Linked DNA regions of Coturnix japonica. The protein of the gene in region 6 purifies or fractionates together with the protein of the main gene of each other region. This does not show direct contact. Links are inferred from orthologs where the notes say so. Each region holds a gene or a part of one and is shown on either strand. Other genes may lie near its edges. The genes, in order: POLR1E, MED26, POLR3H, MED19, POLR3E, POLR2H and RPAP2.

Evidence for each region.
Region 1: the proteins of POLR2H (region 6) and POLR1E purify together in Homo sapiens (affinity purification with mass spectrometry; 3 studies listed by BioGRID and IntAct, with this or other methods). This does not show direct contact. The link is inferred for Coturnix japonica from reciprocal best matches to the Homo sapiens genes POLR2H and POLR1E.
Region 2: the proteins of POLR2H (region 6) and MED26 purify together in Homo sapiens (affinity purification with mass spectrometry; 3 studies listed by BioGRID and IntAct, with this or other methods). This does not show direct contact. The link is inferred for Coturnix japonica from reciprocal best matches to the Homo sapiens genes POLR2H and MED26.
Region 3: the proteins of POLR2H (region 6) and POLR3H purify together in Homo sapiens (affinity purification with mass spectrometry; 5 studies listed by BioGRID and IntAct, with this or other methods). This does not show direct contact. The link is inferred for Coturnix japonica from reciprocal best matches to the Homo sapiens genes POLR2H and POLR3H.
Region 4: the proteins of POLR2H (region 6) and MED19 purify together in Homo sapiens (affinity purification with mass spectrometry; 3 studies listed by BioGRID and IntAct, with this or other methods). This does not show direct contact. The link is inferred for Coturnix japonica from reciprocal best matches to the Homo sapiens genes POLR2H and MED19.
Region 5: the proteins of POLR2H (region 6) and POLR3E purify together in Homo sapiens (affinity purification with mass spectrometry; 3 studies listed by BioGRID and IntAct, with this or other methods). This does not show direct contact. The link is inferred for Coturnix japonica from reciprocal best matches to the Homo sapiens genes POLR2H and POLR3E.
Region 7: the proteins of POLR2H (region 6) and RPAP2 purify together in Homo sapiens (affinity purification with mass spectrometry; 3 studies listed by BioGRID and IntAct, with this or other methods). This does not show direct contact. The link is inferred for Coturnix japonica from reciprocal best matches to the Homo sapiens genes POLR2H and RPAP2.

What each region holds. Positions count from the first base shown.
Region 1 is NC_029547.1:66,747,554-66,751,719, reverse strand, and holds the start of POLR1E (DNA-directed RNA polymerase I subunit RPA49), read left to right. Parts: upstream 1-1,366; 5' UTR 1,367-1,441; coding exon 1,442-1,502; intron 1,503-1,578; coding exon 1,579-1,682; intron 1,683-3,504; coding exon 3,505-3,581; intron 3,582-4,166. UniProt on the Homo sapiens protein: Component of RNA polymerase I (Pol I), a DNA-dependent RNA polymerase which synthesizes ribosomal RNA precursors using the four ribonucleoside triphosphates as substrates.
Region 2 is NC_029543.1:3,344,973-3,349,207, reverse strand, and holds the start of MED26 (mediator of RNA polymerase II transcription subunit 26), read right to left. Parts: upstream 2,801-4,235; 5' UTR 2,072-2,800; coding exon 1,949-2,071; intron 1-1,948. UniProt on the Homo sapiens protein: Component of the Mediator complex, a coactivator involved in the regulated transcription of nearly all RNA polymerase II-dependent genes.
Region 3 is NC_029516.1:45,236,925-45,240,882, reverse strand, and holds the start of POLR3H (DNA-directed RNA polymerase III subunit RPC8), read right to left. Parts: upstream 2,801-3,958; 5' UTR 2,785-2,800; intron 2,779-2,784; exon of another isoform or gene 2,619-2,778; 5' UTR 2,564-2,618; coding exon 2,390-2,563; intron 1,356-2,389; coding exon 1,259-1,355; intron 1-1,258.
Region 4 is NC_029520.1:7,805,569-7,808,887, forward strand, and holds MED19 (mediator of RNA polymerase II transcription subunit 19), read right to left. Parts: upstream 1,930-3,319; 5' UTR 1,907-1,929; coding exon 1,711-1,906; intron 1,570-1,710; coding exon 1,313-1,569; intron 1,246-1,312; coding exon 1,149-1,245; intron 1,067-1,148; coding exon 972-1,066; intron 835-971; coding exon 766-834; 3' UTR 501-765; downstream 1-500. Other genes in the region: TMX2 (thioredoxin-related transmembrane protein 2), read left to right, coding at 2,001-2,189, 2,456-2,516, 2,641-2,754, 3,038-3,114, 3,195-3,301. UniProt on the Homo sapiens protein: Component of the Mediator complex, a coactivator involved in the regulated transcription of nearly all RNA polymerase II-dependent genes.
Region 5 is NC_029529.1:8,331,699-8,335,198, reverse strand, and holds part of POLR3E (DNA-directed RNA polymerase III subunit RPC5), read right to left. Parts: coding exon 3,484-3,500; intron 2,922-3,483; coding exon 2,844-2,921; intron 2,035-2,843; coding exon 1,919-2,034; intron 971-1,918; coding exon 888-970; intron 193-887; coding exon 85-192; intron 1-84. UniProt on the Homo sapiens protein: DNA-dependent RNA polymerase catalyzes the transcription of DNA into RNA using the four ribonucleoside triphosphates as substrates.
Region 6 is NC_029524.1:13,963,259-13,966,597, forward strand, and holds POLR2H (DNA-directed RNA polymerases I, II, and III subunit RPABC3), read right to left. Parts: upstream 1,846-3,339; 5' UTR 1,782-1,845; coding exon 1,709-1,781; intron 1,600-1,708; coding exon 1,516-1,599; intron 1,439-1,515; coding exon 1,345-1,438; intron 1,220-1,344; coding exon 1,136-1,219; intron 1,020-1,135; coding exon 902-1,019; 3' UTR 501-901; downstream 1-500. UniProt on the Homo sapiens protein: DNA-dependent RNA polymerase catalyzes the transcription of DNA into RNA using the four ribonucleoside triphosphates as substrates.
Region 7 is NC_029523.1:12,310,623-12,314,695, reverse strand, and holds the start of RPAP2 (putative RNA polymerase II subunit B1 CTD phosphatase RPAP2), read left to right. Parts: upstream 1-1,273; 5' UTR 1,274-1,314; coding exon 1,315-1,375; intron 1,376-1,800; coding exon 1,801-1,846; intron 1,847-2,688; coding exon 2,689-2,803; intron 2,804-3,221; coding exon 3,222-3,320; intron 3,321-4,073. Other genes in the region: GLMN (glomulin), read right to left, coding at 407-472.

The DNA.
Region 1 (4,166 bases), on a different chromosome or scaffold from region 6:
GAATTAGCAAGGTTGGAAAAGATCATCTAGTCCAACAATTCCCAATACTTCCAGGCTAAATCATATTCCTCAGCACCACATCCAAACATTTCTTGAACACTCCCATGCTCGGTGACTCCCCCACCTCCCTGGGCAGTGCATTCCAATGCCTGAATACTCTTTCTGAAAAGTAATACTTCCAAATGTCCAGCCTGAATCTCCCCTGACGCAGCTTAAAACCATTCCCTCTAGTTCTAAGTTCCAAGTTAGCAAGAAACAGCAGGTAGGGACAGAGGCGCTGTCACAGAATCACAGAATTGTAGGGGTTGGAAGGGACCTCTAGAGATCATTGAGTCCAACCCCCCTGCCAAAGCAGGCTCCCTACACCATGTCACACAGCTCGGCGTCCAGGCGGGTCTTAAATATCTCCAGAGAAGGAGACTCCACCACCTCCCTGTGCAGCCTGTTCCAGTGCTCCGTCACCCTCACTGTAAAGAAGTTCTTATTAAGGAACTTCCTATGCTGTACTTTCATCCCATTACCCCTAGTCCTATCCCCACACACTACTGAAAAGAGACCAGCCTCACCACTATGGCCCCCACACCTCAGGTATTTATAAACCTGGATCAAGTCCCCTCTCAGCCTTCTTTTCTCAAGGCTCAACAGACCCAGTTCCCTAAGTCTCTCCTCATAGGGGAGACGCTCCAGGCCCTTCACCATCTTTGTGTCCCTCCACTGGAGTCTTTCCAAGAGATCCCTGTCTTTTTTGTACTGGGGAGCCCAGAACTGGATACAATATTCCAGATGAGGCCTTAATAGGGCAGAGTCGAGTGGGAGGATCACCTCCTTTAACCTGCTGGACACACTCTTTTTAATACACCCCAGTATGCCATTGGCTACAAGGTGCTAGCAGCGTGTTAGCACCTCCCCAACCCAAGTACCGTCCTCCACATCACGGCTATGATGAGCAACGACATGAACGTGAGACAGGAGGGCCTAACCCCAACCCTAACCCTAACCCCAACCCTAACCCTATAACCCTATAACCCTATAACCCTCCTAGCATCACACCAGGACCCCCTCACACCCCACCCCTCGTGTAACGCATCCCATCGCTCTGTCCCTCCCTCCAGTGACCGCAGTGGGCACCGCCGCCGTTACAGACCCGCTCCAGGCTCCTCCTTCAGCACCAGTGAAGCAGTGCGGGCAGCGGGGCCGGCACACCGCCTGTTGTTCCCGTGCTGTTCCCCTGTTGTTCCCCGCTCACACCGGGCCCAGCGGCACCGAACCCGCCGCGCTACGACGCTCCGGCCCCGCGCTCCACCCCCGCTCCCACCCTGTCGCCGCGTCGGCCGGAAATGACGCCATATTGACGAGAGGATGTGACGTCATCTCGGAGCGCCCCCACCGGAAGTGCCGCCATTACGGCGTGGCGCCTGGCCTGTTCCTGTGTGTACCGGGTATGGCCACCGCCACGTGGAGATACCGCGGGGATCCCGAGCAGGAGCAGCCGGCAGTGCTGGGTGAGCAGAGATGCGGGATGGGCGGTGCGGTGCGGTGAGGTGCTGAGGGACTCACGGCCTGTTTTATCGCCCGTAGTGACGTTCTCCAATGGGCAGCTGCAGCGACCCGACGCCGTGCGGTTCTCGCTGTACCGGAGCAGCGAGGTGTCCAACCCCAGGAAGAGAAGGCGGAGGATCCTGGTAAGGCCCGGCATCACCGGGGGTGGGATCTATGGGGTCTATGGGGTCTCTATGGAGAATCTGTGGGGTCTCTGTGGGGAATCTGTGGGGTCTGTGGGGTCTCTATGGGGATCTATGGGGACTGTGGGGTCTCTATGGGGTCACTATGGGGATCTGTGGGGTCTCTGTGGGTCTCTATGGGGGTCTCTATGGGGATCTATGGTGTCTATGGGGGTCTATGGGGATCTCTGGGGTCTCTATGGGGTCTCTATGGGGGTCTCTATGGGGTCTCTGTGGGGATCTGTGGGGTCTCTATGGGGTCTCTGTGGGGATCTGTGGGGTCTCTATGGGGATCTATGGGGTCTCTGGGTCTCTATGGGGGTCTCTATGGGGATCTATGGTGTCTATGTGGTCTCTGTGGGGATCTGTGGGGTCTATGGGGTCTCTATGGGTCTCTGTGGGGTCTATGGCGTCTCTATGGGGGTCTATGGGGTCTCTATGGGGATGTATGGGGTCTATGGGGTCTCTATTTGGATGTATGGGGTCTCTATGGGGGTCTATGGGTCTCTATGGGGTCTCTGTGGGGGTCTCTTTGGGGTGTATGGGGTCTCTTTGGGGTGTATGGGGTCTCTTTGGGGTCTCTATGGGGGTCTATGGGGTCTCTATGGGGATCTAAGGGGTCTCTATGGGTCTCTATTGGGATCTATGGGGTCTTTATGGGGATCTGTGAGGGTCTATGGGGTCTCTATGGGGATCTCTATGGGGGTTTATGGGTATCTGTGGGATCTGTGGAGTCTCTATGGGGATCTGTGGGGGTCTTTGGGGTCTCTATGGGGATCTATGGGGTCTCTATGTGGGATCTTTGGGGTCTATGGGGTCTTTATAGGTCTCTGTGGGGTCTATGGGGTCTCTGTGGGGATCTGTGGAGTCTCTGTGGGGATCTATGGGGTCTCTGTGGGGATGTATGGGGTCTGTGGGGTCTCTATGGGGATGTACGGGGTCTATGGGGTCTCTATGGGGATGTACGGGGTCTGTGGGGTCTCTATGGGGATGTATGGGGTCTATGTGGTCTCTGTGGGGATCTATGGGGGTCTGTGGGGTCTCTGTGGGGATCTGTGGGTCTCTATGGGGTCTCTATGGGGATCTATAGGGTCTCCTGGGCAACCTGATCTAGTAAATGTGTATGTTTGGTGGCCCTGCTAGGCAGGGGGGTTGGAACTACATGATGCTTGAGGTCCCTTCCAACCTGGGTCATTCTGTGATTCTGTGAAAGTCCTAAAGATCATCCAGTCCAACCGTTCTCCTATTACCAATAGCTCCCCCTAAACCATGTCCCTCAACACAACATCCAGTCGTTCCTTGGGCACCCCCGGGGTGATGATCCTCTGGTTTGTAATGTTGCCTTCCCACAGCTCTGTGCCACTTGGCTCATTCTGACATCTAACACTTGTTCTGTAAACCGAGAAAGGCTTTGAGTAACTGCATCAAGCAACCTTAAGCACTGCGAGTAGGATGTGCAGGTGACTGGTACAGAATGCTCCTTTCCACTGCCTCTTTCACAGACTGCTCCTACTGCTTTAAAGGATGGTTTATTTATTTACTTTATAAAGTATAAAGTAAATGGAATATGTAAAGTAAAGTAAAGGAATATGATTTAGCTGAGAAATATCGGTAATGGTTGGACTAGATGATCTTGTAGGTCTTTTCCAACCTTGATAATTCTGTGATTCTATGGTGACCGTGGCAAATTTGAGCTTTGTGTCACTAGAGATACAGTACATGCAGGAAAATATGCACTTTCAAATAATGCACTCTTCAAGTAATTTTTTTCTTTGTTTGTCAGGTTTCAGAAACTGAAAGGCTTTCATACGTGGGGAATAACTTCAGCAGTGGATCTATGAAAAGCAACTCCCTATGCAGGTATGGGTAGCTGGCAACGCTGTGGCAGAAACAGGGAGGGGAAAGCAGAGGAACTGCACAAATAAAGTATTTTCTGTAGCCTTCTGTATTGGGGACTGATGAGTTCTCATTGAGACCATGGTGTGAATGGAGAGGATTGGGGCAGTTGATATAATCTCCTGGCAGCTGCACCATTTTGCATGTTGTGATCTTACACATAAGTGGAGTTTAGGTCTGCTGGAGGGAAGAAAAGTGAGAAGGTGTCTGCACATAGCTGAAACCTATGGACAACAGCATTATTCCTTCTTAACTGTTGTCTCGCTCCAATTTAGGAGTGAGGCAAAGGTTCTTTTAATAATGTTATGCCCGGCGTGAGATTAAGAAGAAGAGCATTCAAATGTTGATCCGACCAGTTTATTGGAAATAATAGACAATTGAGGGGATGGGGAAGGGAGAGTGACGAATGCCAAAATTAGGGTGATGGGGAAGGGAAAGTAGGCGATAGAAAAAGGTAGAAAAGAGCAAGAATTACGTTAAAGCGGGGAATAGTCACCTCCTGGATGCAGCAGCGTCCCGTAGCACGTTGTTAACGTTGGTCCGGGGCAA
Region 2 (4,235 bases), on a different chromosome or scaffold from region 6:
CCAGAAAACAGCTGTGGAAACATCACTAACCATGAGACTGGAAGATCACCCAACACTAGGTAACATAGCACAGCACATAGACGGATTCATCATTAATGTTCTGGCCTGCAGACATCTCCCAGAGGCCGAGCAGCAAAGCCATGGAGCTCAGTGTGCACGGCAGCCTGGACTGCAGGCAGCCCAACCCATACAGTGAGCATCTGAGGGGTGGTGACCTCAAACCAGAGCTGGGCTCACACCTTCAAGTGCTATTAATGGTAAATAATTAAATTATTGTCTAATATTCAAAACACAAAGGCTGCTACATATTTGGGATGAGGACCCTGTGCAATTGTGAGAACAGTTCTAACAGTCTTTCCCACAGAGCAAAAGCGAACAGCTCACACCATTCCTGCCACCAGGCAATGAGACTCCTGATGCCCCATTGGAGCGCCTTCACCCAGCAGAGGGGTTCTGCTCAGCACAGTGAGCCCAAAGAGAAAAGTGCTGCTTCTACCAGAACCAGGGAGCCCTTTCCCCTAAAAGCCCGCTCCAAGAGCCCATCGGACGCTTCCCCAGCTGTGCTGTCCAAAAAGTCCTCCCAGGAGGAGGATTTCCCTGCAGGAACATCACACTGCCCTGCTGGGGGTACAACACCCAACTCCCTGCTCCAATACAGGACTGGGTCCATTCCCAATGACCCCATGCTGGTAAATGGGGTGTAAGTCATGGAGCAGAAGTAGTTTGTCCATATGTTTTTGCAAGGGGAAAAGGCTGAATAAATGGAGATGTAACAGCAGACATCCCGTGTGGCTTCCAATATGATGTAATTTTTTTTTTAAATAGCTTATTTCTTACAGGTCTCCTTTGAAACAGAGCTTTATCACATAAATAGTGATCCAAGTGTGTGAAAATAAGTTATCAAAACATTCTGCAGCAAATACTAGAAGAGGTCTCAAGTGCTAAATGTGTGTACAATATAAGCAGCGCTCCAAGTCAGCAGAGCTTCAAGCAGAGGTTAAAACAGATGATCAGAATAGTGAACAGCTTCTGAAAGCACATGGGTTCCAACAACCTGGGGAAGAGCCATCTTGTTTAACTCACCACAGGAAGGATCTTCTCTGAGAGGACCTCACACTTATCCAAGATTTGCTCATACCACAAAGACCTCCACAGTCCCACTGGATTGAATATCCACAAGGGGAAAGCGGGTTGTGTTGGGGAAGATATCAGCAAAGCTGAAGTTGACAGCACCCCACAGCAAAGCGTGATGAGAACCACCTCCCCTCCACAGCCCCACCAAACTGATCCTTGTGCCACATGCTGGGTAGATCTGGTGCAGTTTTCACCCTCCCTCCTCTCCAGGGACACACACGTACCCGCACCGACAATCACATCAAAAAGTCCAAAAGAAATCCAGGCCTCAAAGCTTTTTTCTTAGTAAACAAGGAAGTCAATCACAATAATGAATGCTTTAAGTTTGAATGCAACCACTTCTTTCAAGAAAAGTCTCCAGAAGCCAGAAGAAAAGAGCCACAACTCTCCCTGTGCACCAAGAAGTGCTGCAGCTCAGAGCTGCACAACTGCTTCCTGTGGGGAGACAACAGAGCAGCCTCTCTTGTACTTCAACATTGGAGATCAAGTCAGATTTAAGTCACAATCTGCTTTTAAGAACGTTCAAAACTCATATTTTTCTCCCTTTCACTAAAACAGCACAGCAGTTCTGCCTGTCCATCTATTGCTTACTATGTGCTGGGAAAAAAAAGTCCAAGTCTGTATGATGAACCTCAACTCCACCACTTCTGTTCTCATTCGAAGAAGAGGTTAAAATAGAAGACAGCCCCCTGCCTACAGGCATTTCTGAACAATGGGCTGATTTTTCCACCGCTAATTATTGCCCTGGATAAGTATCAAGTATGTAGAATTATAATTTAACATACATTGCTTCTAAGCTTATGGGGCTACTGACCTGCTGCAGGCCCACAGAGCGCTGCCTGATGCTCAGACCTGCCCAGCAGAGCTCCTGCTCCATACCACCACCACAGCACAACCTGACATCGCACATGGAAGAAGCACATTCATCACAAAACATAATTCTTAACTCTACACAGCTACAACGTTTTAGAAAGTAACCCCAGAAACAGAGCAACCAGCATCAGCAGGTCTGAAGTGACAAGAAACCACTGCTCCATTAGAACTGTATTTAACCAGCTTGATGCTGAGTGTAAGGTAAAACCAAAATCCCACAGCCACAAGTCCCAGAGCAAACAGAACTCAGGAAAGATTGTTTCCGTATCTACCAAGTTAAAGGACCACAGACTCCAACAACTGAGACTTGAAAGCCCACCATCACCCTTATCATTCATTACTGTTACTCAAGCTGGTAATACTGCAGCTCATGACAAATGCTTATCACAACAGGCTATTACAAAGTGGTTTATCTTTCAGTTTTCACATCACTTGCATGGCGCTACATGATGCTTCCAAACAGCAGTAAGTTCATCAGCCACTCGGAGAACACAACACCTGTCTGTTATGGGAGAGATTTGCTCAGAGAGAAGCAGGCACAGCTCCAATGAACCTCGGAGCCCATCTCGTGCACTCCTGGCACAGCACAGCACGCTGCAGCCTGACTCACCCTGACTGCCCTGCGACAGACAGCTGGGAGCAGCACAGCTCTGTGCACTGCCATGGCAAATGTGGATTTCAGATCGAATAAATCTGACAGACCGCAGACCCCACAGTCCTCTCACCGTAGTAAACGTGGATGTGAAGAGCTGCTTTACTATGCCAAAAAAAACCTTAAAAGGAGTAAATAACACTTTGGATTACCACGACTTACACATGAAGACCACTTACTGGTAAAATCTACGTCGACTCCCGTGCTTACTCTACATCCCAGAAGGAGCAGATAAGCTCATTAGCGCTCTGCAGGGAAGGATAAAAGCGAAGACCGAGGCTGCCCGCTGCCGGAGCCGCTCCAGTGCCCCGGATCCACCTTCGAAGCCCTCCGGGCGCCCCCAGAACGCGGGGACGGCCCCGGGCCCGGCGTCTGCGGCGGGAGGCGGCGGAGGGGCCGCGGAACAGGTGGGCGCCCTGCGAGAGTCCGCAGCCCGGCCCAGAGCCCCCTGCAGGCCGCACCCGAGCCGCGGCCTGGCGTGGGGAGGCCGCCGGGCCGCGCGCCGCATGGCCGGGCACAGCCGGACGGCGCCGGGAGTGACGGGAGACGGCGCGGGGCGGAGGGAGAGCGCGGCCGGAGGGGAAACGGGGAGAGACCCCCGAGCTCCACGGAGGGAGCGCGCGGAAAAGCGCCGCCGGGAACGGGACCGTGGGCGAGCACGGAGCCGGGAGCTGCCGCTACCGCCCGCAGCGGAGGCTTCCGGTGCCCGGGGAGGAGCGCGGCGCGCCGCGGTCCCGGCAGGAGGAGAAGCGGCGGCGGCGGCCGCGCGGCCCCACGGCGTTCGTTCGTTCCCACAGCGGGAGGCGGCGGCGGGGCCGGAGAGCGGCCGGAGCTCGGCGTCCCCGCGCCGCCGGTCGGGAGCCCCGGGCCCGGCGGGCCGTACTCACGTTGCTCTGCGGGTCGATGGCCTGCAGCAGCCGGTCCCTGATCTGCTGCGGGGAGGGGGCCGGAGCCGCTGTCATTGCCTGGGCGAAGCGGGGCGGCTGCGGCCGGGGCGGGCGGGCGGCGGGGCCGGGCCGGGCCGGGGCGGCGGCTCCTCACTCGCCGGCGGCGGCGGCGGCCTCCTCGGGGAGCCGGAGTCGCATGTTCGCTCCCCGCCGAGCGGGGGGCGGCGGCGCTCGGAGCGGGGCGCGGAAGAACCGCGACGGCGCGACCGGGCCGGGCCCGACTGCTCCGCTCGGGGCCGAACTCAACTGTGGGCAGGAGCCAGCCCCGCGCAGGGCACCATGGGACACGCCCGACGCCGTTACGCACGGCGCGCCCCTGACGTCCCTCCGCACGCACCGCCGGGCGCCCAGAGCGCGTGCGCGGCGGGCTCCGTGACGGGAGGGGGGGCGGCCGCGCGTGCGCAGTCGGCCTCACGGCGCGCGTGCGCCCGGCGGCGGGGTCACCCGCGGGGCTGGAGGAGCGCGGGCGGGGGAGGGGAGCGCGGCGCCGCGGCTCCGTGAGCCCGAAATGCCGCCATCCGCCGCCGGCTGCGGTTGAAGCGGCCCCGTCCCACTCCAGCCCCCACGTTGGCAGCGCGAGGCAGCTCCGAGGGTGAATGCGGCCTTATGGACGGAGCGCCCGACAGCCG
Region 3 (3,958 bases), on a different chromosome or scaffold from region 6:
GGGATGAAACCATAAAACAAGCAGGGCCTCTGATTCTGTTACAAAGCATCCTTGGACACCAAGAATGTCAGCTGAAATGTTGTTTTCCTGCCATACTTCTGCTCCTTTTATCTTTGATGGCAAAGATGTATTTTCTTCAAATGAAATTACATGGTAAACAATAGTATCAAAGTAAGATTCTCTGCCATAATCTTATTTAACCCAAATGAAAACTCTACTTACGTTGCTAACTAAGAATTTTGCATTCATAAGGAAGCCATACTAAGACAACCCCAGCAAAATAAGGTTTAAAAGCTGCTTAACATCATTTTAACTGTACATACCCAGTGCTGTTCTTCTATATAAAACCAAGCACTAGATTGGAGGAGGAGCAATAAATCCTGCTGCCTGGGAGCAAGCGCTATCCCAGCTTCTGAAAACAGGAGGTTTCTCTGCAAACTCAGGGAATATATGAACTTGTTTCAGTTCAAGGAGGTTCGAAGTTAAGGAAGCAAATGGAGACTAAAAGGAGCAGGAAAGCCTGCCATCCTCTTCAGTATTAAAGAAGCTTTTATTTGTAGGGAATTAGCGCTATTGACATTAAAAATGATGTCTGGGGTGCCACGTGCAGTCAGTCCAGTCTCCTTCTAACAGGGTTACTTCCTTTGCTCGAGTGTTTCTGCATTTATTTACAGCTTTTGTTCAGATCTGCCAAAGCTCAAAAGTAATGAATCATTTCTTATTCCCTCCCCCATAAAAGACATCTAAATCCCAACAATATATGCTGAACCAGATCTGTCTGAGTCTCAAAGACAGATGCCGCAAAGCTTCCAGCTAAGAAAACAGCATCAACTGTTGTGTGAATGTTATATTTAGAAATGTTTCAACATTCCAGGCAGGCAAAATAAGCTTCAAAAAGAAAATAACAATGATGATAATGGACAAACACAGAACCATTAGTATAAATTACTTTCTATTTAGAGATTTCTGAGCTTTCTAAGTTAAATTAACCCCTTCTTTACCCAAGATCTATGGCTATAACTATAGGGCAGAGATAAACTGCTAGAGAAGGAAGATAGGACCACATACTTAAATATGTATTTCTAACCACAGCAGTGCAATGGAAAGAGACTTCCGCCACGATCCTCTCTCTCTCCTGAAGAGAACAGTGAAGGCTGATAACTTCAGCAAGTCCCTTTAAACTTAATTTACCTAACCATGGGATCTCAGTCAACACTTGCAGACCTCTAACCTGCAACAGCCATAGCTCTGAACATACCTTTGGTATGTGATGCACCATCCCCAGGGAATATGTATGAATCTTCCAGTTTGGTAATATCATACAGGCAGATGCAGAGACCAACGTTGTATACAACCTGTTCGAATGAAAAAGTAATAGAAAAGGCAGTAAATCAATTAGCAGGTTGACTCCCTTCAAGTTTATACAACATGCACAGCTTTTAGAAAGAAGGCAACAGAAGGTGGCAAGATGGGAGGGAGGTTGTTTATGTGCACTCCTCCAATGGCCCCAGCACTAAGCATGCTGCATTTCAGAGGTACCCCTAACCTCATAACTCAAGTGTTATGTGTGTGTTCTTACTGGGACTAGAAGGAGCACTGCTGTAAACAGAAATCCTGTCACAATAGTAAAGTTGTGAAAGAACACGTACCAATTCAGCAGACCCATATCTTGTCCAAAGGCCAAGATCTTGCCACCATCCTCACAAGTTTCTAAGCTTGTCTTTGTCTGAAACTCTAATAGCTGTGGGCAGAGATCAGAACTCCCAGTTTCTCTGCCACTTCACAGAATCTGTGGCACCTACCCATATAGTCAGTGGATAAGATTGTTGTGGGTTTTTTTCCTAAGCTGCCCGTATATTCTGCTTCCTCAGTCACTTCAGGCTGCTCTCCAGAGCCCCCTTCACATTGCCAAGCTGCACTCTAAGTTCTGTATCCCCTGAAAGTTGTGTGCCCATCAGCCTCATGGGCTGCACAGGGACGCTGTGACACAACTCTTTCATATGCCCCACACTAAAGGGGAAGACTATGCCAGCATACTGTACTCAGCACAAAGCAGGTCAGATAGCACCACTTCCATTTCTCTTTCAGTATTTTTGTTGTATTTACACTGACCTGGTTTGCATGTGCTTTCTTCATACAGCACTTTGCACTGCTGCCCTACACATAAGGTGGCAGCAACTCTCTTTTTCCATGCCCCTCAGCACATTCCCTACTGCACGAAGAATAGAAGACCCCTATGGGATGGTACACAGCTCTCTCTTTTTTTTCCATTTTGTTTGGAGTCAGCCTTCATATCTAAGCTGTTCTGATGTATGTGTCATTAGGCACAAACACAGAAACACTCCACTATATGGTGATGCTACAACACTTACGCCACCCTATACATTACCTTATTGGCCAATTTCTTGTTTAGCTCCTCTGCAATGGACTCATTCAGTTTCCTCTCAAACTGCCAGGGAGGAATCCTCACCGTGTCAGTCATCTCCACCAGGACAAACATGGCGGCCTCTGGGGAGACAGAGAGAGAGCAGAACCGTACAGGGGCCGCCTCAGTAACGAGCATTCAGCCCAGGCCTTGCCGGGGGCGCGGCGGGGCAGCACTCTGCGTCCTCTGGGGACTGTGAGGAGCAAGGGGAACGAGTGGGGTTAGAGACCAGCTGTGCAGCGCTCGGCCTCCCCACGAGCCCACAGTGAGACCAGAGCGGGTTCGTGACCGGGTGAGCCCGGAGCTCAAGGCACCAGGAGCGAAGAGGCAGCACCGACCCCCGGGAGCCTCAAACCCACCTGACACACACCGCCCCGCGCTGCACGTCCTCACGGCGACTTCCGGTGTCGGAGCCAATCGCCTTCGGGGGGCGGGGAGATGGATTCTGATTGACGTGTAGCCGGACCTACCGCACGGTATGTGCCGTGCGGAGGCCCCGCCCCTAGCGCCGGCGCCAGGCCCGCCTCACGCGGGGGCGGCCATTTTGTCTTCCTGTGAGATAGGTGGCGGCTGTCACTGAGGTGCTCCTTTCAGGGCCTACTTTCGTTAAGTAAAACGTAAATCCGCGCACAGTTCTCCGCAGCTGCTCTCCTCGTTATAGGAATTATGGAAAACAAGTGGCTGTTCCGTGCCTGAGACGTTCCCCGAGATATGGAAGAGCTGCCTGCAGTGTGCTGAAAAAAAGACTGAGGAAAACCAACGTGTCTGCGGCTGACAGGCAAAACTGTGCTGTCAGCACCGCGGCTTTGATGCCAGCACGACGGGTGTCACCCCCCGCACCCTGTGGCAGTGTGTAGCGGGCGGTAATGAGTGCTTGGGATAAGAAATCATTAGATGTTGAGCTGTCTTGGAGCAGGAAGGGGAAAACAAGGCCACAGATACCGCACCTCGGCCTCATTAACCAGAGATCTGTCGTGGCTAAGGAGTTCCTGATCTGTTTGAAATTATTCCTGCTCCACCAGGGTGTTTTTGTGATTATTAAATGGCTGCTCAGCACATGTCTGGTGTGTTGGCATTAAGCAGGAGTTGGAGGATCCAGTTTTCCTTCCCAGGTCCCTCGGAAGAGTAGCATTAGTCTCAGTGATGAGCTCTGCACACACCACTGTTGGGACACCTCACCCCAAATCCACCCCAGCCTATTTCAGGAGCTGTACAAAGAACCTTTCCCTTCTCCGTGGTGGTGGCTGTGCTAATCTGAGTACAGCACAGTTCTGCTCGCTGCATCCCTTGCTGTTCTGTCCTGGCTCCATGCAGGTCAGACGATGCTGGGGCTGACCTTTAGCTGCAGGTTTTGCAGGTCGCTGTAGCTGCCTCAACTCTGCTGTAGTTAGCACCCAGCAGCACACTGTATTTCACACTGCAGCTCAAGCATTCTGATGCTGGAAACTGTGGGAACAACCCCATCTCACTGAGTGCTTTCCTTGTGCCCCTATGGTACTGACACATGACATAGCCACAAATTCACAGAGGCTA
Region 4 (3,319 bases), on a different chromosome or scaffold from region 6:
TTTTAAAAACGAGGAATAAAAGGATATTTAATGAGTCACCTCAGCGGGCATGCGTGTGCTTTGTGCGGTGTCCAGGGATGGAGGAGTCCGTGAAGGATCCTGTCCTTCACTTCTCAGCTTTCCCTCCCTCGTCTGGAGTGGAAAGGAAGGGGACAAGGAGAGCCGGGCCCAGCCTTACAGGGCTGCCAGTGCCTGCGCCCTCACAGCTGGGATGTGCTTCCTTAGGGCACTTTGGGGCACAGCGCTCTCAGTGCAGGTAAGTGGAGCTGTCAGGGTTGGAACATGTCCCAGGACTCAGTGAGGCTCTGGCTCTTCTGTAGGAGCCCCCACAGGGGCAGCCCTGGGGGACATGGTGCTGAACTGGGGTCACTTGTGTCCTCCTGAGCCTTCTCTCACAGCCCAGAGAGCTGCAAGGCCTGGAGTATGATGGGACAGGCACAAGGCCTCTGCTCCTTGCCCTGCCCCGCTGGCCAACAGTCAGAGCCGCCACTGGCACCAGCTCTTCCTCAGAGCAGACTTTAATTAAAAGGTGAATAAAAAAGTGAGATCCCAATGCACCACGTTGCTTAGGTGTGGTAGGAGCCCCCATTCCAGCAGCGTCCGCGTCACCAGGTCCCCATCAGCCACACAGTGCAAGCAGGGGGGTTGCAAGGCCACGTTCTCTGCAAGCGGGGACCATGAGTGCCCACACCTCCCCGCTGTGCTCTGTGATGGGACGAGTCCACAGCTGGGGCAGGGAGCTCCATAGAGCAGCACAGCGCAGCCTCACCGCAAGCTGCTGCTGCTGCTGGCCTGCGAGCTGCCCACCCCGGGGTGCTCGGGGCTGTGTCGGTTCTGCAGAAGAAGGACAGGCGTGAGGCCTTGTGAAACCCAGTGCCAAGCCCTGCTGGAGGCCTAACGTGTGGTGCTGCCGCGGCCTGGCACGGGGCTGGTGCAGGCAGAGCAGAGCAGCACGCTGCCTCCTAACCTACCTTCTTTTTCTTTTTCTCCTTCTTCTTCCTTTTGCGCTCCGGATCCTCCTCTTTCTTCTTCTTCTTTTTCTTGTGGTCTGAGTCCGAGGGGGTTTCTGCAGGAAGCAGAGGAGGGGTGAGCGGGGCACAGAGTTACCAGGACACATGGGGTGCAGAGTTAGCAGGGCACGGTCCTACCTGGGGGCACAGGGTCCTGCGTGCGGCTCTGCTTGTGCTTGTGCTTGTTCTTCTTCTTGGGCGGCTGGATGTGCATGAGGCGGCACTGCTCCGGCAGCTGCAGGGGCTCATGTCAGCGGACCCCCTCCTTACCCCCATCCCCCCTTCCTCCCCCGGGTGCTCACCGGGCCGGCGTGCAGTCGGAACCCGGTCAGCATGGTGCCGGTGAGCGGCGTGAAGGAGCTGCCGCAGATGGGCGGCTTCTCGATGAGGGAGCGCAGGCTGCTGTTGTCGTGTGAGCCGGGCAGGTCGATCATGCCGGGCAGGTCGGGCAGGAAGTTGCTGAGCTTCTCCTTCACCTTCTTGCCGCAGAACTTGTTGTACGCGTGCTCCAGGCTGTAGTGTGTGATCAGGTTGCTGCTGCCCGTCAGCTCCGTGCCGCCTGCGGACGGACCGGCACCCTCAGCGCCCCGCCCCTCGCCGGACCGCCCGCGCCCATTGGCCCGACGAGCCGTCACTCCGCGCGTCCCGCCCGCTCATTGGCCCCGCGCCCCCCCCCCCTCCCCCGCGGCCCGGCCCGCACCCGGCAGCTCCCGCAGCAGGTAGAAGGGGCCGGTGGCGGCCTTGCGCGCCGCGTCGTCTCCCGGCGGCGGCACGGCGGCTGCTGGAGGCGGAGCGGCCCCCGCTCCCGGCCCCTTGTTGGGCCCGAAGCCCAGCGCGGCGGCGGCGGCGGCGGGAGGCGGCTCGGCCCCGCCGAACAGCGCCGAGAAGTTCTCCATCTTCCCGCCCTGCCCCGCGCGGGGCCGCCCCGCCCCTCGCGGACGTACGTGCAGCTCCGGCCAATGGGAGCGCGGCGGGCGGCCGGAGGACAAGATGGCGGTGCTGGCCCCGCTGCTGGCGCTGCTGTACTCGGTGCCGGGGCTGTGCCGCTGGCTGGCCCGGCCCTACTACCCGCTGTCCGCGCTGCTCGCCACCGCATTCCTGCTCGTCCGCAAGGTCCCGCCGCTGTGCCGCGGGCTGCCCTCACAGCGGGAGGACGGCAACCCCTGCGACTTCGACTGGGTGAGCGGCAGCACCGGGCCGGCCTGTGCCGTGGCCTACTCGGGTATCACCGGCGCTGGGTGCAGCCGAGGCGGCCCCTCTGTGCGCAGCCCCGGCTCCTGATCGAGGGCAGGCGGAGGATGAAGGCTGGAGCGGCCTGGAATGGCTGCTTGGCCTTGTGGTTGTGCTGCAGGGCTGCTCGGTTGTGCCCGAGGTGCTGGCTGTGGCTGTGGCTGTGGCTGTGGCTGTGGCTGTCACGGTGCTCACTGCGTTTCTCTCCTGTGCAGCGGGAGGTGGAGATCCTCATGTTCCTCAGCGCCATCGTCATGATGAAGAACCGGCGCTCCAGTGAGTTGGGGCAGTGCTGGGTTGAGTATAAGCTGCTGATGGGGTGTCTCTGTACTGGAAACAGTTGAGGGATGAGAGTGAAAAGAGACGTGGCCCCATCTCTGATTTCTTCCCTCCTTCCCAGTCACTGTGGAGCAGCACATTGGGAACATCTTCATGTTCAGCAAAGTGGCCAACGCCATCCTCTTCTTCCGTCTTGACATCCGCATGGGCCTGCTCTACCTCACGCTCTGCATCGGTGAGACACGTGGGGAAGTGGGGGGGGATCCGTAATGCAGGGGCTGTAACAGTGCTCCTGTCAGGCCTTGTCTCTGCCCATCCTGTGCATTGCCTTCCTCAAATGGGGCTGGAGCCATCTTGCCTTGTGCTGCTGCTGTCTTTGTAGCCATACAGGCTGCTCTGGGGAAGGAGGAGCCTCCCTCAGACTAAGCCTGTGTCTCTTGGGCATTCCAGAAGTGGAAAAAAGGGGGCAGAGGCCTCGCTCCAGGTGGGCGCTGGGCTCAGGGATGCTGTTATTGCAGTGTTCCTGATGACCTGCAAGCCACCCCTTTACATGGGACCTGAGTATATCAAGTACTTCAACGATAAGACCATAGATGTGAGTATCTCCTACCCAGTGTGAGTTGGCGTGGGGTGCCGGGCTCCCTGCCTACCATCCCCTGTTGACTCGCGTGGCAGGAGGAGCTGGAACGAGACAAGCGGGTGACCTGGATCGTCGAGTTCTTCGCCAACTGGTCCAGTGAGTGCCAGTCCTTTGCCCCCATCTTCGCTGACCTCTCTCTCAAGTGAGTGCTGCCTGCTTT
Region 5 (3,500 bases), on a different chromosome or scaffold from region 6:
CTATATTAAACACCTTTGAATAAAATTATAGAGAGAATTTGCATCCTACCTCTCAAAAGGAAACACAACTCACGTAGCATTTACCTTCATTAGCAGCTTCTCTTTCGCGGTGTTTTGCATCAGCTTTATCCAAGTAGGTGAAACTTGGCCTCAGCTGAAGAATTCCATGCAGTGGAGTCAGATGAAGTTCACCTGAAAAAGAGAATGGATATTGGTTAAAGGTATTGTTTTCTAGTGCACAGAGACAGTACTTTCATCACTTTGCTACCTCTGCAACAGCACCGCTTGCAGAGAGCACAAATATTTAACACAGTAAAAAGGGATTAAGTGATTCATCCAGTTCACAGAATTTCAAAGGAGTATGAAAAAAAATCAAGACCTACTCCTGCTACCTTATTTTTTAATGTTGGAGCCAGATCTTACAGAGAGCCCCATTTTGGCTCAGATCTGATCTGTCAGGAGACTACTAGTGAAAGAGACATCACTGTAGGCAATCTACAATGATCCTCACATCAAAACTCTGCGGTGACAGTAGGAAACAAGAGAAGGGCAGGATGTGCTGAACAGGCAAATAAAACAGCCATGCCTAGATGGAGATAATAATACAATGTAAGTGAGATAAATAATTTTTTTTGCAAATGTATGTTTCAGGCCATCACGGACTACTAAGATCCTGGAGGCACCTACAGTGTCCTGCTATATTATTTAAAACTCTGCTGGAGCTCCTCAAGGACTCCAGGGATGCTCATAAGGAAAGCTTTCATTTTATTTAGAAAAGCATCAATTAAATATGAGCCTATGCTATTAAAAACACAGAACAAACAGCTCTTATTTAACCCAGAAATTCACATATTTCACTGATGTGAGGGGTAACAAAACAAAGTCACCTTTTCTATAAACAGCAGCTGCATAGCGGGAAACATTACTTGCAGCTTGCGAAGAGCAGAAAGTTTGTTTGTCCATCAGCTTCCTGCAAACAGATGAATGCTGTAAGATTATATGCTACAGGCAACGTGGCATACAGATGTTAAAAGGCCTGAAATCACAAAGTCTCAAAATGGTCCATCAGCAAATACTTTAAATACTGAGGCTAGTTTTGTGTAACGTTTTAATCAACAATCTGCATGAGGGCACTGAGTGCACTCTCACTAAGGCAAGACTGTTGATCTGCTTGAGGTCAGGAAGGCTCTGCAGAGGGACCTAGATAAGATTGATGGGCCAAGTTACATGACATGACATGAACTAAGGGTAAGTGCTGGGTCATTAATAACCCCATCCAGCAGTACAGCCTTGGGGCAGAGTGGCTGGAAAGGAGAAGGACCTGAGCATGCTGTGCTGGTCAGCAGCCAGCTAATGTGAGCCAGCAGTGTACCCATGTGGCCAAGAAGGCCAATGGCACCATAGTCTGCAACAGAAATACTGTGACCAGCAGGACTGGAAAGTGATTGATCCTTTGCATGCAGCGCTGGTAAGGCCACACCTTGAGCACTGCATTCAGTTTTGGGCCCCCATTACAGGAAGGATATTGACTTGACTGAGCATGTGCAGCAAAGAGCAATAAAGCTGGGGACTACAAAACAAGATTAGGAGGAATGACTGAGGGAACTGGAGTTGTTTAGTCTGGAGAAAGGAAGGCTCAGGAGAGACCTCAGTTCTCTATAACTGCCTGAAAGGAGGCTGCAGTGAGGAGGTGTTGGTCTCTTTTCTCAGGTGACAAGTGATAGGACACAAGGAAACAGCCTCAAGTTGTGCTGGGGAGGTTTAGATTGGATACTGGGAAGAACTTTTTCATAGAGAGGCACAAAGGTGGAGCCCTCACTCCTGGAGTTATTAAGAGATGTGTGGATGGACATGGGCCTAATGGACATACACATATCTGCACACCGCAGAAACAAAGGAAAGCAAACAGGACACCTACGAGGAATAGGTACTTGTTTCATCTGTACAAGTGCCATCTACATTGAGAGCAATCTGTTCTCCTTTGCTGCGACAGTAGTTTGGATTCAAAGTATCAATGGCCATTTCCAGTTCAACCTAAAAAATGTGAAAGAAAAGGCAAATTATTACGATGGCAGAACTCCAGATGTATAATCAATTAAACTTACAAATTACAGCCACCACCTCACTTTTATTCCCCTTCATGTTACTTGTAAACTGAAGTAGTGACCAGTCCCTGGTTATGATGGTAGATTTATACATCTGCTAATTCTAATTAGAAAAATCCTTAACACAGCATAGGCTGTGACTCCAAAATTCACATAAGCACTCTCCTCAACTATTTCCCAGAAAAGAATCCTGCTATCACACACCCGTGAGTGGTTTTTTTCATTTTTTTTTAACATGAGGCATTTTAAAATCACAGCTACAGGTTTGGAATTCTTCTGTAGTCAAGTGAAATCATTCTGGCTTTGGTTATACTTTCACCACCCCACTGATTCTCAAACGGGACAGCTGATGGTTCACAGCCAGGCAAAGGAAGAATCAAGACACACAATGACTCTAAAAGACAAAGCACGCCTTCAAACCTCAACAAAATTCTAAATATTGTGAAAGTCTTTAAAATCAATCTTGTACAGACTGAATAACAGTAGCCAGAGTTTCCTGAATGATTCTGTTTTTATATATTTTTTTCCATTGTGACATTCATTCCTCTCTTAATAAACCATTCTTCTTTTAAGCTCTCCTGCAGTCTTACAGTGACAGACTCCCTGTTCCCCAAGCACAGAGATCTGGTCCCACAAGCTGCACACTTAGAACAGCTTAGCAGCCCAGTGTAATGACCTGAAGCACATTCCAGACAGTGTAACACAACTTTCACAGACTGGACTCAAATGATGACCAACCTTTTGCTGCTTTGGCTTTATCTTCGCTGATAAATGTGTAACATCATCATATGTCATGGAAGCTGGACGAATTGGGTACTGCAAAACACATCAATTTCATAGAAATTCTTAATTTAAAAGCAAAAGAATTTCACAGAAATTTATTAAACCCTGCCTGACCCTTTACATGTAAAGGCACTTTCCCGATGGTTACAAGATCTCAATGAATGACTTTTGTAATCTTGTGAGTCATCAGATCTCCAAGTATGGTCTAGAAAGCTTTCCCCTCCAACCTCTGCTGCTGTCACTTCACCCTTTTCCATTTCCTGCCTCCAACACATCACTATGTGCTATAAGACAAGAAAATGGTACAACACATTAATCCAACAGCAAAAGGATGTAAAGCCATGAAAACCCGTTAACTCCATGACTAAATAAACTCCATCTCCTAAAATAATTCCCTCAGGGTTTATAGGCAATGATTTAATGTTAAGCCAATGCCATAAACAATCACTCTTCTCTTACAAACAATTTAATACTAAATGTTTCAACTGAGACCATACAGCTTTGCCTGTTCCCTGTAAGAGGTAAATAAAGCTATTGCTCTTTCCATTAATTTATTTTAAACAAATTTTCACTAAATAAAAGCTAACTGAAATACCTGAAACAGATACAACT
Region 6 (3,339 bases):
AGGTCAAAAGCAGCCATACCTGTGCAGCACGAGGCACATGCCCTGCTCCTATCAGACTGTGAATGCTTTACAATTAAAGACCTATTTTTCTAAAGGATTGTTTGTGTCTTCCTGTTCCCCCTGCTGTAGCACTGGCCTAAGGAGCATACACCAGTCTCTGGGGGAGGCAATAGCTGGGGAACAAACGCTCCTGATTTTCCCAGTGTCCAGCTCCCTCCTGTGGTGGCTGCCATCTCTGCAGGGCAGGTGGGCTCAGCTGGGGATGTGAGATAATAATGCCCCTTGCCTTCCAGTATCCACCTGCCAATTTCACTGTGCTGAGCTCTGGGGTCACACAGCATCACTCAGACTAGGCCAAGCCCCTCCAGGAGCTGCAGCTTGAAAGCCAGTGCCCCTGATGTGGTACCTTTGCTGTCTGCTACCACAACATCCTCCATGAGCATCCCATCTTCATCTACCAACCGGCATTCTGGGAAGCCAACCTTGCCACAACAACCACATCTAGAAAACACATAGCAGTTTAATTAAGAAGCCACATCTGTCTCAGAACAGCTCCTTAGAAAATGATGCCCAGCCCTAGCACAGACAGGTGAGTGCCCCAGTCCAGCGGCCCCTGGTTAGAGCTGGGGCTAAGCCTGCTTTTGAAGTGCAGGAAGGTGAGATCAGCAGGCAGGGCCACAGAGCACCCACGGTCTCCACTGAGAATGAGGCATCAGCCCCTGCACAGAAGGGAAACAGTCAGAAAAGACTGGGATGACAAAGGGGGAAAGTCCCCTCCTCCACCACCACTGGAGGGACTGGGCAGCAAAGGTGCTGGGGCAGGATTTGGGGTGATGGTGTCCTTTCTGCTCTCCAACAGAATGTCTCTGGGGGCAGGCAGCCCTCTGAGGTGCATCATCTCCTAGAAGGCCAACTTCTTCATCAGCAGGTAAACTCTGGAGTCCACTTCAAACCCATGCAGATTGTTTGCGTCTCCCTGAAGGCGCATGAGCAGCCCCCCATAGGACACATAAGCAGAGCTGGGGCAGGAGGAGAGGAGCAGTGAGAGCAGGGAAACCCATAGGAGACCCAGTCAAGATAACGCTGCCTCCCCACCACCCTCAGGCAACGCGTCCCCTTCTCAACAGCCACTCACAGGCGTGTGGCTGCCTCTGTGGACGTCTCATCCCCCTCAATCCTGTACACCTTGCCATACATCACGTACTCAAACTGGTCCGCCCTGCAATGACATGAGGGGAGCTGAGAGAAGCGTCAGACCATCCTTCCCACATCCCCTAACAGAGCATCCTCTGCGAGGAGGCCCCTTGTAGGAGGGGTCTCTCCCACCACTGCGAGCCACGTTACCTGGAGGGCCGGTCATCAGTGGGGTTGTACTCCCCATCATCCAACGTCCCATCCTCATACAGGGTGCTGGCAATGACCAGACGGAACTTGTCCCCTGGGAGGCGATAACAAAGCAGCGCTCAGAGCGCACAGCCGGAGCTGCCCCCCCCCCCCTCCCCGCCCGTCCCGTACCGAGATCCACGGGGTAGATCTGGATGTTGACGTCCAGGATCAGATCCATCTTGAACGACTCGCTCTCGCAGTGCAGCCGGGACACTGAGCGGGCCGGGACGGGGCGTCAACGGGAAGGGCCCGCCGCACCCGGCCCGGCCCTCGGAGCCCCGGGTGGGAGGAAGGGGCGGGGAGCGGGGGGGTCGTATCTCACCACGGTCGAACTTCTTCCCCTCGGGGTCGATGTCCTTCACATCGAAGATGTCCTCGAACAGAATGCCGGCCATGGCGGCGCCCCTTCGCTCCCGCGCCGGCTCCCGCTGCGGCGCACGGTGATGACGTGTTTCCACATCCGGAAACCTCATTCGTGGTGGGCGGGCAGAGGTGCCCGCGCGGTCCTAGCGCCGCCGGCAGCGCCCCCTGCAGGCTGGGGGGGCGCACTGCAGCGCAGGGGGCGGTAGGGGGCGCTGCGCGGCCGCGGATCGAACCGCGTGGGTCGGGGCAGATCCACGGCGGGACGGAGCTCGGAGCTGGGCGGGGGGCAGCAGCGTCACCCCACAGCCCACCCGTGTCACACCCCACAGCGTCACCTTCCCTCCGTGTCACATCCCCGGTGACACCCAGCTCCTACCGCCAGCCCCCTCCCCAAAGGGCTCAATGCGGCCGGGCTGTGTGAGCGGAGGGATGCGCTGGTACAGAGGGACACGGAGGGACACGGAGGGACACGGAGGGACCCGGGTTGGCGGCCCCGCACCTCCGGGGTCGAGGAGCCGAGGTTGGGGTGGGCAGCCCCCACACTATAGCACCTGCCCGGTGCCGCCGTCTCCTCCTTATCTGGAGCCAAACAAGCCCATCCGGCACCTGGTGCCGCTCAGAGCACACAGCACCAGCCCTCAGCCCGCCCCCAACCTGCACGGATCCCACAGACCGTCCCCAGGTGCTCTGCAGCCCCCGGTGCGCCGGGATATATGAAGGGATTTTGGGGGGGGGGGGGGCACAGCTCTGCCTTGGTGCACCCCAAAGCATCCCAGCATACAGTAGGACACACCGGGGGTCCCTCCATGTGGGCTCTCCCCAGGCTGGGAGTCCCATTGCTCACAGTGCCGGGCTGTGTGTGGGTGGGGAGGTTTAGCCGTGGGGCTGTTATCTTTCACTGATAAATTATACAACATGAGCACGGCTTTGAACGGCGGCCAGGCCTCCATCCGGTGGGGCAGCATTGGGGGGCCAACACAGCCTCCAGTGCTCTCTGATGGGGGGGATGGTGATGGAGATGGGGCCGTGGCTTTGGAGTGAAGGGCTGATGGGGATGGGGTCTGCACACAGAGGCAGAGCAGGTGGCAGAGCCACGGCGGCACCTGGGTGGTTGGGCAGCCCCAAATCCTGCACCCTAAATCCCTGCCCTCTCCCCAAAGCCTGCCCGGCTCGGGGGTGGGAGCGGTGCTTCAGAGGCGGCCGCGGCCCCTCTTATCTGCGGGCACAAAGGAGCCGCGGCACCGCCGTTATGGAGCAAACAGACCTGGGGAGAAGCTGGCTGGCATCGGGCAATGGGGTGGCACCATCCCCATGTTGCGGTGCTATGGGGTGGCACCATCCCCATGTTGCGGTGCTATGGGGTGCAGCGCTGACATCCCCCCACTGAGCGGCCCCCCTAAGGCTGGGGTTGGGCAGGAAGAGAGCGAGCCAAAATTAAGCTGTTAATGAGTCTGTCTGTCACCAGGCTGCCAATTACCCATGTGGGTAAGGAGGAGATGATGGAGGTGGCACGGAGCAACATCACAGCCCACCCGATCATCCCCTCATTAGCACCGCATCACCCTGAGTGAGGGACAAGGCCCTGGGCAG
Region 7 (4,073 bases), on a different chromosome or scaffold from region 6:
GTCTTCATGGTAAGGGTGACGGAGCACTGGAACAGGCTGCCCAGGGAGGTTGTGGAGTCTCCTTCTCTGGAGATATTCAAGACTACTCCTGGACACCTACCTGTGCAGCCTGCTGTAGGGGGCCTGCTTTGCAAGGGGGCTGGACTTGATGACCTCTGGAGGTCCCTTCCCACCCCTACAGTTCTGTGATTCTGTGATATGTTCACTTTGACATGTTCTGCTGAGAGAAACAAGAACACTTCTTTCTCCAAGAGGGAAAACTTGGGAAAACAGTCAGGGAGAAGTGAATGAAACATGGAGACTAAGCCCAGATAGCAGCAAGGAGATCTTCTAACAAGTATCTTGTGTTCTGAAGCCATAGAGTGAACCTTTAATTGCACTTATGACTTTTATGAGAAGTACTTACGCATCTTTGTATTATGGCTTGAAGTTCATCAACTGCCATTATTGCTTGAGTTTGCTCTTCAGGCATTGAAAACTATTAGGAATTAAAAGGTACAGTATTAAAACACATTAAGTAAATGCAGAAATTTAAAAATAAATTAAAAAAAATCATGTTATTAAGACACCAAATAGAGAAATGAGAACAGTCTTTTAGCTACTGCATGGCCACATACAGTGGGAGCTGTATGTGCCTTCATATGTGCCTTCAGGTGCCTGCTGCCTTGTACCAACAGTGGTTTAGACCAGTCAAGACTACATATGCAACATTATTCACTTCCTTGCAGTGCTGGCCGATCAAGCATTCCATTTTCTTCAGGTGCAACAATTAAAAACTTCAGGTTTGGGGATTCCTGTTTGTTTAACAGCTTTGAGTACTTTCTTCTGCCTAAGGCTCGTTATACAGCCACTGTCCCTAACCCACCACCAATTTCCATACGCTGTCAGCTCTGCTGTTTTCCCCCCCAGCCCTCGGACACGTGACGGCACACACGGCGCTGCTCAGCTCCCCACGCTGTCAGGCCTTACGACTTAACCCACTTTCTAATTACATCTTTCCAGCGGTTCCAGCGGCAAACGTACAGCACCCAAATAAGCACAAACTTACTGCTGCTTATACTCAGAGCCCTCCCTCCTCTATTAAAGTAGCTTTCCCACGTGGGGTGCCACATACACGCCAGCACGAGGGGCTGCTAAGGTCAGCCTTTAACCCAGGGCTGAATTACAAACAAAACCCGCAAGAAGCGCTCCCCGCTCACAGCACCCACCGTAACCGCTCACACCGCGCTGCCGCCGCTCCTCGCTCCCGGCCCGGGCCCGGCCGACACGGCTCCGCCTCCGGTGAGAGGTCAGAGGGAGGGAGGCGGCAGCGCCATGATGGCGGATGGGAAGACGCCGTGCAGTGCGAAGGGGAGGCCCGGCCGGCGGCGGGCAGGTGAGTTCCGCGCCGCGCTCCGCCCGCTCCGCAGGCCGGTACAGTGAGTTAATGCAACTCCTGGCCGTGCCGGGCGGTAGCACGGCAGCACAGCAGCACGGCAGCACGGCCTGGGCTGGCGGGGCACGAGGGTACCGCGAGTTCGGGGCGGCTGCGGCAACACAGCGGCTGCACGGGGCAGGGCTCCCCGCAGGAGGTCGGATGAGGGCAGGCCGTGCTCACCCCGCAGCGGTACAAAACCGTACCTGACACTGCCCAGCGGTTATTGCCTTGCTGAAGGCATAGCCAACAACAGCGAGGCTCTGTGCATTCCAATGTGCATTCCAATGTGCTTGCAGAAGTCTTCGTGTTTTTTAAAAGTTCCAATGTTTTCATTGCTAAAGGAAGAACAGACACTTATATGCTTCCATGTTTTCGATTTCTAGGACATAAACGGTCGGCTGCCCCTAAAAATGAAGATGCTGATCAGAGGTATCATTTCTAGCAAACAACACACTGCGATCACTTTGCTTTGCTTCACTCTGGAACTGTGCTCTTTTCCTCCTGTGTTTTTGGCTTTGCCAGAGATGACTGACCTCCAGAGACACCAGCATCCACCTCCAGCAGGTTTTTGGTGTGATGCCGTGGGTCTTTTAAACAAACATCAACTTAGCATTGCTTAGAATAGGCATAGCCATCCTGTTTGGATAGAGCTGCACATTACATCTGAACAGGGCTGAAAGCTGCATCCCCTTTAAGCAGCATAGAACAACACAGTACAGGTGCCTCTGCCAGCTGCTCCCACGTGTCAGACAGCCGCCCATCAGGGAGAGATGCCCAGAGGAATCCAGATTTGCAGTGGTGACACAGATGGCAGGAGAACAACTTTCCAGGGGGAGGTGGAGCTACAGGAGGTATCTCTGTTCCATCACCTGGCTGATGCACAGTTCAATTGGCCTGTCTGACAGAGTGAGAATAAAGTTCAGCAAAGGCTACAATCTACATATAGAGAGAGAATATATCAAAATATGCCTCACTGCAGATACATGGAAGGTACAGGAAAATACCAATGGGTGCATATACTGGAATAATTCTGTTGTGGTTTGACAATAAAAGTCAATACTTTTCCTGACTGGGGAGAAAATAAAGCAAAGAATCTTTTTGTTTGTCTTTAGTGGTTATTACAAAATTTATAGCCCACTTATTGCTTTGTTTGGCCAACTTGATGAGATGCAGAAAATATAAACTACTGTGTTTCAGAAAAGAAGATATCCAGGTGGGGAATTGCTTATGGGAGCTGCTTTCTGTTTCATTCAACATCTCTTACGTTACAGGAAAGCAGCCCTGGAGGCTTCTACTAGAAAAAAGATTGAACTTGAGAGAAAGGCACTGCGTATTGTTGAGCAGCTCCTGGAAGAGGACATTACTGAAGAGTTCCTTCTGAATTCTGTACGTGTCACAAGTTTTTGTGTTATTTTGTATCTTAGTGTCCAGCTGTTTTTTAAAAGTCCTTAGAACAATTTGCTGCAGTTCAGAGCAGACAAGTTCATCCTCTCTTGTCAGCTCTGTTGATGGCTGCCTTACTTTCAAGGGTTCTCCAGTGAAAATATGCTCCAGTTTTGTAGGATGAGATATAATTGTGAATCTCTCTCTATTAGCATACTTTATGCCTCTGGGAAGCACAAAAAGTTAAGTCCATATCATGCCCTCTGTGAGTTTAGCCAATGGTGCTCTTTACCCCACAGTTCAAGTGCTGTATATTAAACTTACAGTTATAAAATGGAAAGTATGTATTTGCTTATTTACATCTGAGTGTGAAAAGTAACAGATCTTCCAGTATTCTTGAACTATTTTCTTGTAATTGCAGGGAAAATGTATTACTCCATCTCACTATAAGGACGTTGTTGATGAACGGTCTATCATCAAACTATGTGGTTACCCCGTATGTCAAAATAAACTGGAAAATGTAAGTTGCTTTTTTTGTTTGTTTTTGAGTAATGTTATCATAAGAACCTAATCACATTTTTTATTCTCTTGCTTATTTTTTTCATTTTAAACTTAGAATGTTAAAATATAGATTAAAATGCTGTCAGGTATCATTTCAGTATAATGCTTCTGAAGTTAAAAGTTAAATCTGATTGATTGACAACTGTTGCTGTATAAGGGAATCAATTACAATCTATTTGGACAGTAATAAAGATAAATAAGGTGTGGTGTCATAGCTATCCTTTGTGCATGCAGAAACATTTTAATCTGTTCCTTCTGTACCTTTGTAAGAAGGGCTGATATGAAAGAGGTAAAACACATGGGTATTACTATGTGACTGCAAATACATCCCCTCCAAAAACAGACCTTACTTGTGTCAAAATCAGTCATGCCTAAATACAACGTATTAGAGCTTAAGTGGAACTATGAGTTCAGTTACATAACCATAATACCAGGTGTGATACAACCAGTTATCTGGGAAAAATAAATCATGAAAGGAAAAATAGGTACCGTTTTGGATTTCACATGTCCCAACAGAACTTGGAAACTATTACCTTTGATGTAAGCTCCCCTCTGGATTTGTCTGAATAGTGGCAGAGTCACACATGAACAGGGTTTCTTCTGTGACAGCTCCATTGGTTCACTCCCAGCAGAGGCTTTCTTGTAAACCTGAAGTTGCCTACTAAGATGTGAATGAATAATGAGAAATTGCAGTTCTAATGTCTAAGGAGAT